Arabidopsis thaliana: one gene and its partners. The protein of the gene in region 1 interacts with the protein of each later gene in a pairwise test. Each region holds a gene or a part of one and is shown in the gene's direction. Other genes may lie near its edges. The genes, in order: UBC29, RMA2, AT2G37150 and AT5G41350.

What was found.
Region 2: the proteins of UBC29 (region 1) and RMA2 interact in a two-hybrid assay, tested with the Arabidopsis thaliana proteins (one large-scale study listed by BioGRID).
Region 3: the proteins of UBC29 (region 1) and AT2G37150 interact in a two-hybrid assay, tested with the Arabidopsis thaliana proteins (one large-scale study listed by BioGRID).
Region 4: the proteins of UBC29 (region 1) and AT5G41350 interact in a two-hybrid assay, tested with the Arabidopsis thaliana proteins (one large-scale study listed by BioGRID).

What each region holds. Positions count from the first base shown.
Region 1 is NC_003071.7:7,265,997-7,269,602, forward strand, and holds UBC29 (ubiquitin-conjugating enzyme 29), read left to right. Parts: upstream 1-1,725; 5' UTR 1,726-1,883; coding exon 1,884-1,953; intron 1,954-2,054; coding exon 2,055-2,182; intron 2,183-2,367; coding exon 2,368-2,472; intron 2,473-2,597; coding exon 2,598-2,741; 3' UTR 2,742-3,059; downstream 3,060-3,606. Other genes in the region: AT2G16730 (glycosyl hydrolase family 35 protein), read right to left, coding at 1-109. UniProt on the Arabidopsis thaliana protein: Accepts the ubiquitin from the E1 complex and catalyzes its covalent attachment to other proteins.
Region 2 is NC_003075.7:14,006,945-14,010,885, reverse strand, and holds RMA2 (RING membrane-anchor 2), read left to right. Parts: upstream 1-1,598; 5' UTR 1,599-2,085; intron 2,086-2,686; 5' UTR 2,687-2,690; coding exon 2,691-3,272; 3' UTR 3,273-3,411; downstream 3,412-3,941. Other genes in the region: LLG3 (LORELEI-LIKE-GPI ANCHORED PROTEIN 3), read right to left, coding at 20-101. UniProt on the Arabidopsis thaliana protein: E3 ubiquitin-protein ligase that promotes the ubiquitination and proteasomal degradation of the auxin-binding protein ERABP1.
Region 3 is NC_003071.7:15,603,035-15,609,555, reverse strand, and holds AT2G37150 (RING/U-box superfamily protein), read left to right. Parts: upstream 1-1,955; coding exon 1,956-2,109; exon of another isoform or gene 2,110-3,347; coding exon of another isoform or gene 3,348-3,390; exon of another isoform or gene 3,391-3,562; coding exon 3,563-3,667; intron 3,668-3,801; coding exon 3,802-4,533; intron 4,534-4,608; coding exon 4,609-5,024; intron 5,025-5,214; coding exon 5,215-5,316; intron 5,317-5,393; coding exon 5,394-5,531; intron 5,532-5,655; coding exon 5,656-5,808; 3' UTR 5,809-5,975; downstream 5,976-6,521. Other genes in the region: AT2G37160 (Transducin/WD40 repeat-like superfamily protein), read right to left, coding at 1-223, 327-509; AT2G37140 (Terpenoid synthases superfamily protein), read right to left, coding at 6,227-6,430.
Region 4 is NC_003076.8:16,540,929-16,545,859, reverse strand, and holds AT5G41350 (RING/U-box superfamily protein), read left to right. Parts: upstream 1-1,887; 5' UTR 1,888-2,471; coding exon 2,472-2,474; intron 2,475-2,648; exon of another isoform or gene 2,649-2,695; coding exon 2,696-2,836; intron 2,837-3,006; coding exon 3,007-3,436; intron 3,437-3,545; coding exon 3,546-3,655; intron 3,656-3,804; coding exon 3,805-3,834; 3' UTR 3,835-4,398; downstream 4,399-4,931. Other genes in the region: XPB2 (homolog of Xeroderma pigmentosum complementation group B 2), read right to left, coding at 261-317, 420-642, 725-893, 974-1,046, 1,134-1,177, 1,277-1,286.

The sequences.
Region 1 (3,606 bases):
ATTTCGTCTTCTTCTCTTTGTCATCGCTTGAGAGAGCTCCAGAGAAGGAGAGGAGAATCACGAGAACGGCTAGTAAAAGCCATGAATGATCAGAAGAATGTATTTTCATTTGACTATCTTCTTCTTCTTCTTCTTCTTCTTGAGGATTTTTAAATTTAAACAAGAATCCACCTAAAGGGATATCTTCCTTGTCAGAGAAATAAAAACTTTAGAGAAAGAAAATGAAATAAGAGAATGTTTCGCAGAGAACATAAGGTTTCAGAGAAATTCACGTATTCTCAATTTGAGATTCCACATTTTGTTTGTAAATAAAACTTCCAATAACTCTCCCTTTTATTTCCTTATTTCCTCCTTTCATTTTGTTTTCGTTGAATTTTCTAATTTTAAGGTTTTTGGTTGAAGAGCCTAATTTGGCGGGTATACACACAATGACTTCTCTCAATCACCACCAAAAAGAAATGTGAGCCAATGCTTATGTTGAGAAGGTGCGTATTACACCAAAAAAAAATGGTTCATACGAAACCAATGATTTTATTTTATTTTATTATGTTCATTATAAACACCACTTTTGGTTCTTCTTTAATTGTGGAAATGTGGATTAAATCCATGAGAGATCTAACAAAAATTTGTGTAACCTGTTATCTAGTTATTATTCTTTGTCTACAAGTTGAGTAAATTTTTTTGCTGTAATTTGGATTATCATCGTTTAAACCTTTAGCTTATTTCTAACTTTAAATATCATAACGGCAAAAATTGTAAAAGCTTTGGTATGCTTCTTTTACGTAAAATACATAAATGTGTTGACCGTGTGGTTGAAGATTGAAAGCAAAGCAAACAACATTTGTTACAAAAAAAATGGCTATTTTTTTAAGTAATCAATTAATCGTCTTTTAAAAAATCGAGACCAACTATTGTTGAGAATTATTTTCCTCCCGTAATCACCATCATAAAATATCGGTTGGGCAAATCACGTAGCATGCATGTACATTAACTTTGGACTAACAGCTGTGGAGTTTCTTCTTATAGCAATATTCAAAAGACCTAATAAGTCTGAAATAAACAGAGGCTTGAAGGTTATACTTAGATTGAAAGGCAATGATTTACATTTACATATATAGGTTGATCAATGACGATCTCTACGATATGTTGTGATATAAATCTTTAAAATAAGGAAATAATATATGCATCACTGATTTGTGGAGTGTTCCTCACTCGACGCCACTCTGATTTGTAAATTTTTTATTGTAAAATTTTAAAGTATGTAAATAGGGCCTATAATTTTTTTTCCTAATGATACATGGGCCTATAATCTTAAGAAACTTTTGAAATGGGTCCTATAAGTTTTCAATAACTATTTTACCTCATCAAATGTATGTTATGATTTATGATTATATTTGTTGAACATGATGCTCATCACCCATCACTTTGCTGGTCCAGTGAACGTGGACAATAAGATTAAGAACAAAGGATATTGTAATAACCATTCTTTATGTTAAGTTATTCTGATTCTCAGACTTTATCAAATCCCATTATAGACCGTTCAATAGATATGGTATATTACAGTAAGCATGTACGTAAGACCATCCACTTCAAGGCACGTCTCTCTTTCAGAATCAGAACAAAAGAATGGATCTTTCTCCATTACCTTTATGGGCAAAGCGGGCGGCTAAAAAGAGACTTTACAATGGTAAATCTTTACTTAAACAATGATAAATGCAATAGTGCAAGCATTCCTGTTTGCAAGAGAATCACAAATCTTTGCTTACGGTTCACGCTTTAAAAACACAACTCTCATTCTCCTTCTCTTCACAAACCACTCATATTTTTTTTCACATACTTCTTTGTAGTGCTACTTTCCATTATATCAAACACTCAGCAACCTGATGGCAACGAGACGGATATTGAAAGAATTGAAGGAGTTGCAAAGAGACCCTCCTGTATCATGCAGTGCAGGTAAAGGATCACAATTTGTTCTTAATACAATATAAGCCATGTATCAGAAATTTTTTCTAAAGATTTTGATATTTCCTTTCTCCTTGGTTTGGGATTTTTAGGTCCAACAGGAGAAGATATGTTCCACTGGCAAGCTACTATAATGGGTCCGAATGAAAGTCCTTACTCCGGAGGTGTTTTCCTTGTCAATATTCATTTCCCTCCTGATTATCCTTTTAAACCTCCCAAGGTAACAACTTTCTCAACAATTTTTTTGTTTTTTAATCTACTTCTTAAATCCAATAACCAAAAGGCACAAAACCAACATTAAATATTGGATCGTTTATGATCTTTTGGAACCTTAAGTTTTGATCTTTATTTTCAATCTTTTTCTTCTTCTTTACTCTTGTTGTTATGTTTGTTTGATAAAATCAGGTTGTATTCAGAACCAAAGTGTTTCACCCAAACATCAACAGTAATGGAAACATATGTTTGGACATTCTCAAAGACCAATGGAGCCCTGCCCTTACCATTTCTAAGGTTTGAAATTCTATATATGTATTTAGTTATTTGTCAATATTTTCTATAATTCCATATATCAGATTTGGTATATAACCAAGAAGCTCCAATAGGTAACACAAATTACTAACATTTTGGTATTATAGGTGCTTCTCTCTATATGCTCTCTTCTAACAGATCCAAACCCTGACGACCCTCTGGTGCCAGAGATAGCTCACATATACAAAACTGACAAGACCAAATATGAAGCCATGGCTCGAAGCTGGACCCAGAAGTATGCCTTGTTTTAAAGCTCACAATTCCTCTTTTTTTCCTTTTTATTTTGGTTTGGTCTTATTTGTAATAAAAAAAGAAGAAGAAGAAATTGTTATAATTTTAATACAAACATATATAATATATAAAGTAGAGTTTTCAAAGTTGTTAACTCATATGATTGATGAGATATCGACATGTATTAAATCTAATTTTGTTAATATATAAAAAATCTTCTAACCCTATCGGGAAAATAAAATATATACATAAATCACAAAAATTATTTATATAATCAAAAAATTTAATTATATTTTATATAATAAAATAATTCATATTATTAGCGAATTTGTTTTTTTTAAAGGACCGTTCAAATATGTTTTTTTGTGTATTTTGTCGAAATTTTTGTTATTTTTCTTTTTATTTTGTTAAAATAACTCTAAAATATAGATTTCAAACAACACATAAAATAGTGAGATGCATAGATAAAGGTTATAATGGGAAAACTCAATAGTATCAAAGATAAATGAGAATTAATTATAGTCATGTTTGTGTAAAAAATTTAGGACAAGTTACTAATATTTAAAGTTTAAGCCTAGTTATTTAGTAAACAACAAAAATAACTTACGTTATCTAACGATATTTTTGGAGAATAGATAGATTGAAATAAGAGTTAGAACACTAAATATTGAAAACGTGTGTGGGTTACTATTTAAAATTTAAATATCATAAAGAATTAAAACACGAAGATGAAATATGTAGAAATATTTTTTCAGCTCTTATCCATTAAAATGAAATATATAGAATTAAAATTCAGTATATTTTCATGAAATATATAGTTAAATTATTGCAAAATAGAATGGATAAAATTAAATTTTGGTTTTAAAATATTTAGATAAAATGAAA
Region 2 (3,941 bases), on another chromosome or scaffold:
TTAGATAATTGTAATTTACGAGAGATGTGATGAGAGAAAGCGAATCCAGACAAAAGGAGGATAGAGAGAAGAGAAACCAAACAATGATGAGTAATCTTCATGTTTTTGTTTCCTCCTCTATTTTTTGACTTTTTGTCACATTTGAGTTTCTAATCGTTTCTTGTTTTTTCTTTTTCCTGTTTCCATTAGAGTTATAGGAGGAGAGAAAAATGCTGCGGATATAGCGGATCATAAATTAGAAGAAACAACATCAATTCAGTGACATGCCAAAACAAAATAACTAGTTACTATTTTAATCGATTGAGACAAACCATCAAAGTAACAAAAAGTTTGATAGAGAAAATGAATAGATTAATTTTGGTTCAACCACCACTGGTTAATAATACCCATAATAAATTGAGAACCGCCCATTTCTTGGCTCAGTTCTCCGGATCGTAAATGCAACTTGCTCCAATAATTTCATATGAGAATTTGAAAACATTATCATGAACGTGATATATATAATATTACATATACGTTTTTTTGCGCAAAACATATTATATATACATTTAAAACATTGAGTAGATCTTGTTCTAATGATGGTGAACACACACATTGTTTTTACATTGTTGGTATAGTAGTTTTTTTTTTTTAAAGTTCAATTTTCATTTTATTGGTTGGCCATATCCAAAAATGCTTTTCAATAATGAATATTGTGAATAAATTCGGAGGCACTCAAATTGGTGATTAATTTTGGATGATTGTCTAACTTGTTTCATCAAAAATGATCTATTCGAGAGTATTACAATTTACAAGTGAAGTTGTAGTTGATAGTAGACTTTTAGATATAGTAGTCGCAAATTTAAAATTAAAAAAAAAAAAAACTATTTTACATTACACTTTACAATTGATCAAAGATTCGGAGACATGAACCGTCTAACAACCTTACTTAAATTTGTATATAAGCAGAATCAGACATAATGGTGGTGAAGGACTCAACAAATACGAATTTAAGACAGTGTTTTATTATTTCAAGGAGTGGATTTTGGGTTGCCTTCTACAATTAATAGACTTGAAATTAAATACTATGGTCTGGTGACACCAATAGCTCCTTGCTTCCGTGACGTGTAACCTAATTATCTTTGTGGTCTATAAACTAATTCAACTATTGGTTGATAAGGCCTTTGATTAAGGCTTTAGTCGCAAACTTAGTATTCTCCAGTTCCAACTTTGAATAAACAACTTACCAAATTGCCATTGTTATTCACTCAACACCTAATAGTTACAATTTCCATAAAAAAAAAAGTAAAGTACCAAAATAAGCAGAATTTTCAAAATTACTAGCATTTTTTTTTTGTTTTTTTTTTCAAGTGAATTTGATGGAGTAACGGTGCAGCCATGGAGTGCCACGTCATCGAGCTTGGTTCAGTATCTACTATTGTGTTGCCAGAAACAGAAACTGCCAAATTCTTATCTTTTGTTTTTTTCAGAGCCAAATTCTTATCTTATGAATATGATATTGGGATAAAGTTATGGGGGAATTTTGCAATTTCTGTGTATATTTCCCCTACAAAAGTCATGGTCTCATGGACTCATTAGGGCATATTTCCAATTCATACTTTTTTTTCAACATACAATTTTATTCAAACTAAAATAAATATTTTTCTATAAATATATATTTAGTTGTGTATAAATAATTATATTATCTTGTTTACTTTTTTTTAAAACGATGCTATCCGTTGCTGACCTTTTCATGAAATAAAGACAGACATGTAAGAAAAAAAAGATGAATGGCGTTTCGTTACTTTATCTACTTATTTTTAATTAGGTAGACGTTTCTTCCTCTTTAAAATCATAACTTGTCCGGATTTTAATTTTGCACACCTTAAGAAAATAAGAATAAAAATAATTGTGTATGTGTGTATAATAAGGTCTCCTGCTTCTGCACCACCCTCGATCTAAACATTCTTACCCCATTCTCTTAACCCAAATAAATCATTTTCTCTGTTCTTCTGCCATTGTCGCATGAACCTGTACAAGCTCTCTCAAGTTTCCAAAGGCTTAAAGACAGAAGAGATCCATCGGTACTTACAATCTTTCCAAAGAGTACGTTTCTTTTTTCTGGAATCATCACTCTTATTATATATTGTTGCGTGTGTCTATCTAAAGGCATCGAATTAGTAGTAGATCTGCACCGTTTTTGAGTTGCTACGCAAGAAGATGATTGTTTTCGATATACCATGTCATTTTTTAAAGGATCATAATATCACTTGTTTGTTTAATCAACCACTCCTTTGTCTTTAATTATTTAGCTTTTTTTCTTAAACAATAACGTGCTTTGGGATTAAGTGAAAACAGAGCAAAGCGTCGGAAACAGAAAGTGATTAGGTCAAGTCTTCGTAACTTCAACTTGTTAAAGAATATGATCCTTACTTTTTTGCGTCTAATCTTCTTCTTTTTTTTTTTTGGTTAGTGTAAGTTTTAAATTCAAGATCGATCATGCTAAGTATATACACAACAATTCTGTTATAATCTATATTGATCTTCATATTTTGATGATATTTCTTGTTTCTATGAAGTATCATTGATTTTATAAATCTCTAATTGGAATTAGACTTTAGTATTTACTATTTACTTATTTAGGTGAAATCTCATTAAATAAACAACGACTGGTCAAGTGAATGGTTGTTTGTCTTGTATGTTTTAGTAAAATGGAGATTGAGAAGGATGAGGACGACACAACATTGGTTGATTCTGGAGGAGACTTCGACTGCAACATATGTTTGGATCAGGTTCGAGACCCGGTCGTGACTTTATGTGGCCACCTGTTTTGTTGGCCCTGCATTCACAAGTGGACTTATGCGTCCAACAATTCAAGACAACGAGTCGATCAATACGATCATAAGAGGGAACCACCAAAATGTCCGGTATGCAAATCTGATGTCTCCGAGGCTACGCTTGTCCCGATCTACGGACGAGGACAGAAAGCTCCCCAGTCCGGTTCAAATGTACCGAGCAGACCAACTGGTCCGGTTTATGACTTAAGAGGAGTTGGTCAACGTTTAGGAGAAGGGGAGAGTCAACGTTACATGTATAGAATGCCTGATCCGGTGATGGGTGTGGTATGCGAAATGGTATACCGGAGACTATTTGGAGAGTCTTCGAGCAACATGGCACCTTACCGCGATATGAATGTCCGGTCTAGGCGACGGGCAATGCAGGCTGAGGAGTCATTAAGCAGAGTCTACTTGTTTCTACTTTGCTTCATGTTTATGTGTCTATTTCTCTTCTAATTATAATATATATGTGTATATAATATACCAATTGGAATGAGTATGCATATATGTAATAACAATTTGTATATTTTTAAGAGTCTTGAATCGTTGAAATTGTATGATGAGCATATAATAACGTCCAAAGAAAGAAACGACACCAAATGGCTTCTTCTTTATTCGATATATCATGGGATGATGTGGGAAGATGAGAGCATGGGTTAAAAAGGAGGCTTATCTTCAACTCAAATAGATTTGTGCTCCAAAAAAGCTGATAGTGGCATTCGAATGCGACGCAAATGGTGTTGCTTATGTCGGATTACAATCGTTTAAAACCAAACCAACTTTTACAAAAAAAAAGAAAAAAAAAAGTGAGAATAGGGGGCCCTAGATTTGATTGATAACGGCGAATCGAATACGACTGTTAGATAAAGAAGTAGAAACATTAATTTGCAGTACGAGTCTTTCTTTATACATTAAAAATGTTGCAAAGAAAATTGGTAAAGTGATTGGAGTGAGCTGGTTTCATTAAAAGCATAGACTAGTATGAGATGAGTTCATGGCCTTATGGGTCGGGTCCGATCGAGACAATCCCTCATTCATGGGATCGATTTTTTCTATCTGCAAAAGTTTTAATTTAATTTGCCTATTTCCACTTCTTATAGGTTTTAAAAAGTTCGAATTTCCTTG
Region 3 (6,521 bases), 8.3 Mb from region 1:
TAAGCGCACGGTTACCATTCCCACCACCCAATAACCTTGCTGTTGCTGACCGGAAACCGCTACTAGCTGTGGAACTTGACGAGGTCCCAGTTGGTGTCGATGGAGCAGGTTTATCCTTAAGGTGAGCTAGAGTAACCTGACACCAAAATTTCACAAATCCATTCTCAGAAACCACTTTCAAAACATAAAAATGAAATGTGCATTTGATATTCTTACACAAAACCTAATAGCAATTTCGTAATAGCAATCACAAGTGCAAAGAAATCAGATTGGATTAAACTTTCAATTCAAAAATAAACACCAAAGAAAACGAATCAAATCTTCACCTGAGTAACGGTTTTGCCATGAGTGTAGTGAAGAAGCCCAGAGGGATGCGTCTTCTCGTAGTGGAGCTTGTACTTTCCTTCAGGCGTCTTGAAATACGTTTTGATTCCCGGAGACTGAGGATTCGCCGCCGAAGCTGACGAAGAAGAAGGCCCAGAGATCATCCCATTCGAAGTGTTCATCATATTTGCTCACTTGCTCTTTCTCTAATTCACAAGCTACTTAGAGCATCCGATCATGTCCCTCCCAAGCTAGGGTTTACCCTTCTCCCACTACACAAAATCCAAAAATCTTCTCTTCTTCAATGCAAATTTCTCTAAACTCTGTTCATCATCGTCGCCAAAATCAAAATGGAACTTTAATACTCCTGGATTCGCCAATGGCTACTGGATCAAAAAGATTAATACAATGTGGATTCCGATTCGCTTCCTTTATTGCTTTCTTAATCATCCTCTTAACTCATCAATCAAATTGACTATTAATGGATAAAATCAAAGTCATCTCGATCAACGGTCAAGATCCCTTTAATCTCTGAGTTTCTCGAACCCTTTTGATACGTACAGCTGAGGCCCAAGTACAGTCCAAAAATATAGGCCCATTACTGAAGAACCATAGTTAATTAATAAATTGTTTAGTCGACAATAAGACAGTGAACGGGTTTTACCGGTAGCCGGTGAAGTTGGTCAGAGAAGGGATTAATGTCCCGGCAACGTCGTAACTCAACCGCTTTAATTTGATTTTTCTTAAATATAAACCGATACTCTTCATCGCTCAACCATCACCAAAAAAGAAAGCAATTTGTCTTCAAAACATATTTCTCTCTCTAAAACCTCTTTTTCATAAAAGGTTGCGTCATCTATACGAATCCATACGTCTCTTTGCTTTTCTCCGATCGGTCTTCTTTTCTCATCGCCGGAACGCTTTGGTAATGTTTCTCATTTCTCCGATCATTATTGTTGTTTCGCCGTTGAGCTGATTATTTCGTGTTGGTATGTATAAACAAGCCGATCGTTGTTTCCTTTTTTCTCTTGTGATTGTGTGATGATGGATTGTTTCTTTTTTTCGGTTTAATCCGGTTTATTCCCGGTTTTGCTGCTACATCGGTGACTTTTCCCACAATCTTCGGGTATGATCGCGATCATGTCCGTTAACCGGAGTCGGTTCTGATAATTTCAGACTTCGAATTTGTTCTCTTTCACGTAGTTGTTAGCTTTTTAAGATTCCGATACTGAGAAGAGACCAGCTCGGTGATTAGAGGAGATGTTGTAAGCTTTGTGTTTTGGTTAGCTGTTGATAATGTTGTTCAGGCTGCTACTTCAGCGATGCGGGTAAGCTAGTTTGGGATATAGTGTATTAGCATAACCTAGGCTTAGCTGGTTTGTATCCTGCAGGCTGCAGGTTTAGTGGCAATGGTGGTTTCTAGTTCTATCATACCTTTCTCCACCACGAACCTCTGGTAGTTGAGAAACTGGAGAAAAGCCTAATCAGTGATTCAAGTGTTTGGAAGATTTGAGAACTAGTACGGCTATAGTTTCAGGTCAGAATTCATCTTCCTCTTTGAGAACTTTTAGAAACTTTGAAATTATGGCATCATTCTTAAAGAAATTGCATTGATAACACATTTCAAACAGATGTTAGTTCCTCATGTTAGCCCATTAGGATTGGTGGCTGGCCTATCCTTGATGTATTCTGATTTGCGGATTGTGTTGTGGACCTTCTTGGTTGATTGGGAAAGCAAAGCGAACTTGAACTCAAGTCATCTAGAAGTTATTCTGATCCATAGGGGTAAGGAAATAACCATAACTAGTCTCTGCCATCACATGTGTACCAGAGTGTGTTTAGTCAGTTGAAGATGCTTGAGGTACGGTATCCATGAGTGGGGAACTTCAATCTTCCTAACAAACTACATCTATCATATAATGGTTTCTAGAGTGACATGCTGTCACGTACAAGCATTTGATTTGGATGCACAATGATGTGAAACATAATGCTAATTTTAAGAAAGCATCCTTTCACACAAGCCCGAATTCAGGAGTCTATTAAGGTGTGCTGGTGGGTTTGAAGACAATAAGAGCGCAGAAATAGTAAATGAGGTAGTAAGCCTTTGCAGGCTAGTACTTTTGTGGACTAAATCCGTTTATCTAAGGAAACTGTAGTGTATTCAATTTGTGGATCAGAGGAGAAGGAATAGAATTTGGTGTTCTCATTGTATTAGTGAAGTCAAGGGCCTAATTGCTTCCTGTTGGTCTACTTTAAAGGTGTGCAGAAATGATGAATCAGTGATCAATCAAGCACGACGGCTTTATCACTTGGGTAGTGTAGTGTATTCGTGGTTAGGACTTTCTAAACCTATATCCTTCTAGGATTATTTGCCTGCAGGTGCACTTTTGAGGGTTTCGGTTCAGAAAAATATTTTAAGCTTAAGTCCTGCTATTGGATTTTCCATGTAATTTTCTTGCTCATGTCATCTATGGTTGTAAGTTTAGTGAAATACATGTACAAGGCCTTTACTTGAATATAAACGAAGAAGTAGTACATTGATAGAAACTGAAAAGATGATATCAAGTGTTACCTATTTTGCATGAACTTGCTCTGATGCTCTTTTATGCGGATACAGTATATGATAATTTGCCATCGTGCCTTATTCTTTCATCCTCTTCTATTTCCTAATCAGTTTCCTATAGACTTTTCTGTAAATTCTATAGACTTTTTGAAAGTGTGTAATTTGATGAACTCCTTGTATTACTCTTCACTTTTGATGGCTCTGGTTTGGAGAGTCGAGAACCTTAGTGATACTTTAAATGCAAAGGCTTCTTAGTTTCCCAACCGTGCTTGTTTTCTGCCTCTCTTTTCTTTTGGTTTAAAAGAAGTATGTCTGTTGTTATTGACAAACTCTTCTATGTAAGTTTTTCTTATGAACTAAAAGATCTGTACTATTAAGGTTTATTTTTCATGTATAAGCATCATGAACTTTCCTGCAGCACAGAGCCTAAGTCCACAAAAACTTGTTTGCTTATGATATCATGAGATCTGAGGTATATAATATGGTAGGTACATGTTACAAAGGTAATGGTACTAGAGCTTGAAACTATGGACTGATTTCTTATATATTTACTTGGGAAATTTGGCTATCAGACTGAAAGTAAACTATGTTGGTTGGAAATTATAGATTTTTTTTTTTTCTGAGCTTGCGGATGTTTTCCTGGGATTTTGAATGGTGAGAGAAATTTTTGTGCAGGTTTAATGGGGCACAGACATTTTCTTGGTTCATCCCAGTTTTTTGATGATGAACATGATCAAGGCTGGAATCATACACACCCAGAACATCCATATTCGAGTCAAGGTAATTAGTCCTTCATTCTATAGTTCCTTAATCTGTTTTTTATTTATTGAAATTTGGTTGATGATGCATGTTTAGTTTTAGGGTAATATGTTCCATATTTCTGATTAATTATTGTCCATCCCACATTTTCTCAGCAACATCTGGGACCAGTGAGAACAGATCACATGTTTATCCAGCAGAAAACATGTTGAATGAAGGAATGCCAGTGTCTTCTCATTGGAACTCTTCTCCAGGACCAAATGCTTATACTGACTCAGGTCATAGTGTGGAGAGACCACACTACAATCCGGGGGTTTCGGGGCCGTCCCATGATCCTTCCGTGAATTCAACAGTTCCAACTTTCTCTGCTCCACATGAGAATTATGTGACATTTGCATCTTCTTCAAGCTACAACAGCCAGACATGGTCAAATGCTAGTTATGTTGATCATCAATCTATGGAAAGTGTGAGAGGAGCACAAAAGAGAAAACGACCATGTCCTTCTTCCATCTATGAAATGGGTAGTTCAAGCCAATATCACGGTGACAGAACTCCTGCAGACACTCATTTCCCCTCGGAATTGCACTTGGGAAAATCAATAACGCATGATCATGACCCTCATTACATGCCATGGCTTATGAACCCAACTTACAGAAGTAATAATCTCTCGATCAGGGGAGAGAGCTCTTCAAGGAATGTCCGGAGTCGTCCTACACTTGATTCAGAGACCAGCTTAGGTAGAAATAATTTGCCAAGAAGCTTGAGCCTTGATTCTCATTCTACACACCACCACAGTGTTGATCATTATGGCTCAGGTCAATTTCCTGGTCAGACATCTCACGGAAATAAAGACTGGAACTGTGCTAGATTGTCCCCAGTTCTTAGAGGTATGCAAAGTTCACTTTGTCTCGATATCTGAATCGTCTTTGTTTCTAATAATCACATTAATTCCCACTTTGCAGATATAAATGGCTTTAGTCCAGAGACAAATAATTTCCTTCCTGCAAGAAGTGTTGTCAACAGCTTATCTGTTAATACTTCCGGCTATCATCACCATGAGCTTACCGGAAACAGAAACCCTACAGTTTCCCACGGGGTTCCTGGAACTTCAACACTATCTACAAGCAGCAGCCGCTTCTCTCATAGGTCAACATCCACCTATAGATCTTCTTCACACGGTTCGCGATCGGGACATGTAGCATCTTCTTCTGGAGACAGGTCTCATTTGGTCACTGAGACTTATCCGTCTAGGCATTTAAGGCCACCACCACACATTTCATGGCGTAGCGGTGATCGGCCAGGGAGACGCAGAAGTTCCTATGAGAGGTTTCAGCCTCCTTTCGATGAAGTTGCTCTCCACGAACGGTTTTCATCTGAGGTATATATTTCCCTTACAGATGCATTATTTAGAGTGGAAGTCTGTCTAAATTACATTTAGTATTAAGATAAAGATCAAGCCGATATGATACAGTGCATATCGAATATTAAGATATAGATTTGCAATCTTATCATTTTCTGCTGCATGCTGAACTGTAATCTGTTATTTTTTGGGGTGTATGTAATAATAGGAATTCATGGTTGAAGATCGCCAACCACAATACTACGGATCCAGAAACATGCTTGATCACCACAGAGACATGAGGCTTGACATCGATAACATGAGCTATGAGGTTAATAGCCAAACACTTATCTTTTGAAGCCTCACATAGGCAAAACGAAAAGTTTTGGTACTGACATATATATGCAGGAACTCCTTGATCTTGGAGAAAGGATTGGGAGTGTCAACACTGGTCTATCCGACAGCGCAATCTCCAGTTGCTTGTTAGCAACAATGTATTATCCATCATATCAAACAGAGGAGCAAAGAAAATGTGCAATCTGCCTGGTAAGATTTAGTTTTTTTTTTTTTTTTCACAACCTGGTAAGATTTAGTTGTCTGAAACATTATGTGTCTATAAAGTTAGAAGTAGGCTAACTTAAGGGTGATGTGGTAATTGGTAAACAAATAGGAGGAGTACAAGGAAAAAGAAGAGTTAGGGGAAGTTAAGGGGTGTGGTCATGACTACCATGGGAGGTGCATCAAGAAATGGTTGTCTATGAAGAACTCTTGCCCTATTTGCAAATCCCCTGCTTTACCTGATGCTTCTAAGAACTCATCATAAATTATAGGTTATCTTTTATGTGTGCATGTTATATTCATTTGTCTTTCGAAAGGAAGAAAAATATGTGACAGAATATAACATTAAGTTTTCTTAGTGATTAATAGTTGTAAATAGAAGAAAGTCCAGGATCTTTCTCAAGGGTTAATATATATGTTAATTATTGGAAAAGGCTCTCTTTGGAAAATCTGGATTTGTTACAGATGCAAATAGTTACACAACACTTCACACTATATGGTATTTCATCTTCAAAGAGAAATAAGATTGACAAATAAAGAGATGATATAGTCCTTGAATTTTCCTTGTGGATGGGTGAATTCTTCACCGGTCCTGTAGGTCACATCTATCATTTTTCCAGCATTAGTGGCCCGTGATAAGATATCGCCTGATATTATCTTCCTTGACTTCAAGTACACTTCGTTCACTGACTTGGCCGTCTGGATTTAAGCCACTCATAACTTTTTCTTCTAGCAGTTTGTACCAACCCAAGAAAACTGCATGAAACAGTTACATACATTGACACCTCAACACCACCAATCTCCAAGTACTCATCGAATGTAGGCACGATGTCTCCTTGTGCCCACTCTGCATAGCTAAGGTTGGCCTTTGAGTATAGTTTGAACTGCTTAATGTTTAGGAGCATATATACAAAAAGATGTTATGTCTATGATAATCTCTTTATGTCGACCGTTATTAGTGAGGTACTAGCTAAGATA
Region 4 (4,931 bases), on another chromosome or scaffold:
ATGGTATAAGAGATATCAATTTCACATTCAATGAACCAAGGAGTTTAAAAAGAAGGATAATGAGTTTATTTATCTATTAAATAGTTCAAGAAAAAATTAGAATTTAAACACGAAACCAATAGCCCCAAGAGAATCAGGATAGATCTCTCTGCCGCATTGGTATCAAAAGATGCAAAAACTGTTGAGAACAACAGATCATGGTATGTATTTCCATCCAGTAATAGTAAACATAAAGCACTAAATTGAGGAGTTCAACATACCTCAGAAGTAAATCTTGCTCGATTTATGACATCATCACTGAGAAGCCTTTTCAACACCTAAGATTGTTTATATTTAACGAGTGAGCAAAACCAACAGAGAAACTACACAAAAATCCCATACGCATAACTAGAGAAAGAGGATCAGTCTGGTGAACTTACCTCCGGGAATGGTGATTCAATAAAATACCGATTTTTCTTCAATACCAACTTCACTTTCCCATAATTAGCAGTAGAAGCATGGATGAAATCAATGATCTCCCCGGGTAGCTTGGTCTTAGATAGCTTATTCAAAACAGAGATGATAGTTTCTGTCTCAAGACCAACGGAAACAGCAGCATACAACGAGTGTGGGGTTAAATTATACTCGTGCATTGACTCAGGCCTGAAATAGTAACAAATGAATGAAAATCAACAACAAAAATCATAACTTGTACATTGATATAATAATCAAATCAAAATCAAACCTGCAAACGGGTTCAGCAATGGCGATAAGAAAGTCATAAGCTTGTTTATAGAGAGGAGAAAATGTCTCCAAGAAAATCTTTCCATCAGCACAAGCCCACAAAGGCCTATTTCCATGATCCGGCTTCAACTCCAAATCAGTAAAATCTCTCCTCTTCTCCTCTCCTTCACCTTTAAAAACCATTATAAATTCTATTTCAATTTTGTTCCCAATGTATCTATGTTAATTATACGAGAGTAATCAATATTACCATCACGAGAATCCTCATCAGCATCATCATAGTAATCTTCAACGTTTTGTATGTTCTTCATCTTTTGATCATCCTGAGATTTTTACAGTACAATTACACTAACTAGAAGTGAAGAGCCTAATAAATAAAAAAAGTCATGTGGAGAAGAATCAACACGAACCTTCCCACCGTACTTCATCTTCTTTGTAGGTCGTTTTCTTTCATCTAAACATCAACATTTTCCCCAGTATTAGCATACTCTTTTCACCGGATAATTCAATAAACGAATCAAAACTCAGTACGATCGAGATTCGAGACCATTACCGTTTCCCATATTGATTTTCTTCTTTTCGCTCCTCTTAATCAAATCGATTTTAGGGATTGTTTCTCTTGTATTTTCAATTTGTGAATTCGCACATAACCTAAATTGTACGACGGAGGGAATATACAACCGTCTTCGTGGTAATTTCCCGTTGTAAGCTATTCAACGAAGCAAGCTGCGTCTCCGGCGAATTCGGATTCCTGTGTCGAGTCGGTGACTCGTTTGAAGCGGAGGAAGGAAATTGTTAAGCAGAAACGTAAGAACACGATTCATATATAAAGGCTGCAGTAACAGATCAAATATGGGCTTTTAATAGGATTCTTTAAATGGGCTTTATTCTTAAGTTTGAGCCCATGTTTCTTTTTTAAACATCGATAAATTATTTGCCGGAAAAAAAATAGTAATAATTTTACTGAAAATGGTACTTCCCAATTTATAATTTTTTGGTCGACACTTTTCAGCCGATTTTCAGTTATGTAATTTCATTATTGAAATTTTGAAAAATACATTGTAACGGAAAAAATAAAATAATTAATCAGCTAATTAATAATTGTATTAATGAATTTAATAAATCAGGTAAGTAAATATAATATTGAGCCCAAAAAGAGTCTTTGTAATTTCTTAGGAAAGTCATTTTGATAGAGCGCACGATAAACACAGCACCGCAAAAAGCACAGAAGCAGAGAAAGACGAAGACAAAACAAAAAAAGCTTCCCCCAAGAACAAAAAGTAAAATTCTCTCTATGATTTTGAGATTTTTAATTCCTCTTCTCTGATTCAATCTCGAGAAGATGATCGGTTCTTCTTTGGTGTTTGTTCTTGCTAGTGATCGCTTTTCTTTAGGTTTTGAGCTTGATTTTTGTGTGAAATTCTGTGGGTTTTTTTTTTACTGTTTTGATCCGTATTTCTCCTATGTGTTTATGCTAGATTCTGAGAATTCTGATGTTTATTGTTGCTTTTATAAGTTTCGGTTTAGGGTTTTACGGATTAGCTTGCTCTTAATGGAGCTTTGGTTCTTTTTGTGGATTCATTGTTTGTGTTGGAGTTAAATTCTGAGTAGAATTGTTTTAAGTTTTTGGGGTTTAGTGTAAAACTGATTTGAATTTATTGCAATTGTGTGTAGATGGTGCTAAAGAGAATGAGAATTGTAGGAGATTCACATAGGCTTGTAGTCGCAACACTGTTGTCTCGATTTTAATGGTTGATGTTTATTGTATCTTTGATTATTGAGAGTGAATTTGAACTGTTAGTAGCTGAATTGTTTTATTGTTGCTACTAGCATGATGAGTCTGATCAGACTTTAGTAGACAGCTCAAACTGATATCGAAAACGATAAAGCTTGTTTGAGTTTCTTGCATATAGATGATAAATATTCTCCTACTGATCTCAGAATGTAATTTGTTTCTTCACATATCTTGTAGGTTAGCATAGATGAAGAGTCTTCGGGTTTTGTAGTTTTTGTAAAACAGAAAAAAAAAAAAAGAGAAGAAGAGATGGGAGGTTGCTGTTGTTGTTCTTCTTCACGAAGAGCTGATGTAGATAATGGACCTGCGTACTACTACGTTAGTCTGATACTTCTCCCACTTCCTCGTTTTTTTTGGGTGTCCTTGCTTTGATAGGCTGCAAATAAATCAATCTTGATGTGCTTCAGGACACTAAATGAGTTAAAAGCCCCAACGGGCTTCGAGATTCATATGGGAATATAACTTGTTTTATGACTTGTATTTTGCAGTACCCAAGGGCAACAGAAGAGCGTGTGCCTTTATCTTCCGCTCATAACAGGACTTCCTCTGCAATCTCTACTGGTGTTGTAGTAGTAGACACAAACTTAGAGACATCATCTCCTGATGCTTATATACCACCGCCACTGCCTACCCCTTTCGATGTGCCTATAGGGATTCCTCAAACACCAGCTAGTGGTGAAGAGGCTACTTGTGTTGATATAAGAGAGGTTTCGGTGGACTCTGCTAATACCGAGTCTGCTCAAGAAACAGTTGATGGTATTACTCTCGGGGTTCCAACTACATGCTCACATAAAGAGACAGATAGCAAAATCCAAACAGAGATTGATCTTGAATCTACTGAAGAAATAGACCCGAAGCTATCAAAAGCTGTTTTTATACCAATAGAGGAAGAGGAGGATTGTCCCATATGTTTGGAAGGTAAAAGCTTGTTTGCCTTTCCCACATCTCAAAAACATATAAACATAATCGTACCTTACATGACTGCGAGAATGGGTTATTTATTATATTGTCTGTGCTTTTGATTCAGAATATGATATCGAGAACCCGAAACTTGTAGCCAAATGTGATCACCATTTTCACCTTGCATGCATTCTAGAATGGATGGAGAGAAGTGAAACCTGCCCCGTCTGCAACAAGGTACATTCTTTTATTCACTTCTCTTTGGTGTATGTCGAAAAACTCTAATCTCTAAGTAAACCGTAAATAATGAGTAGTTCCAATTTAGCTTGTTTACAAATTCATTTTAATTCCCGGGATATGTCTGAGAGGATCCGTTTGTTCTGCAGGAAATGGTATTTGACTCTACTCTTGACTAGCAACCCGCAAATGCCGCATCTTAGAAGGCTCAATTCTCTCTGTATCAGAAGAAAGAAATTGGAGAACAAGAGAAAAACTTAAAAAGAAAAAATGGGTAAGAATACACTAATAGCTGATCACAAAGTTGGATTTACGAAACATGTCAGTGTTGATATACATATGTTTGTGTACAGACGTTTCAAATCGTCTACAAAAAAACGGAGATTAAGAATTAGAGTTTGTGCTTTAGATTCACTTCTGTGAATAAAAAACGAGACAAAACTGATAATTTTTCTTCTAGATGTTTTAATTTTGGTAATTCTTGTTTATAGGTTATTTTAGGAGTGTTTTAAAGCTGGGGTTTCAATTTGGGTTTGATTCAGTTTTTTCTTGAGTTTAAGAAAAATATTAATCAAACTGAAATTGAGAGTTTGTTATGTATGGATTGGGTTTATTACGGTTCGATTTTAGTTTGGTTTAGTGCTTATTTATTTTCTTTATGTTGTTCTGTGATATGTAATATGAAAATTGTTTATACTTACTAGTTTGTAGTGTTTATGTTTTAGATTTCTTAGTTCTTCACATTTTCGAAACTTGGTTTGTTTAGTTGTCTCATTAGTTGAATATGTGATGTCGTATTGTCGTACATCTTACTTACATGAGTACGTCAAATTAAATGAGACTTATCTAGTAAATGATATTGTTACATGTAGATGCAATATTAGTCATTGCTTTGTTTAATAAATAATATTTGTCACAAGTGAGTAAGTGACAGATGAATAGTTGCTAATTATAGTGAATCATGCTAATGGTATATTGGACAAATATTTTTATTTTTTAAAAAATTTCCTGTCTAATTTGTTTTTTCTAGTTAAATACTTATACAGATTCATGTTTTTAGACTGTAATCGGGCATGACCATCCAACTATTTTTGTCGACCAACAACTTCAACGCGCCAGAAAAGCGTTTTGAGTGACCATTACTGTGTAAAACAGTATAAAATAGAGGTTTTTTTGTCACGCCATTGGTTTAAATGAAAAATTAAATTTAACAAAATTGAAAACTTTAAAAATAATAAAATCAGATAAACATAAGCGAACAACGAATAAAATGTGC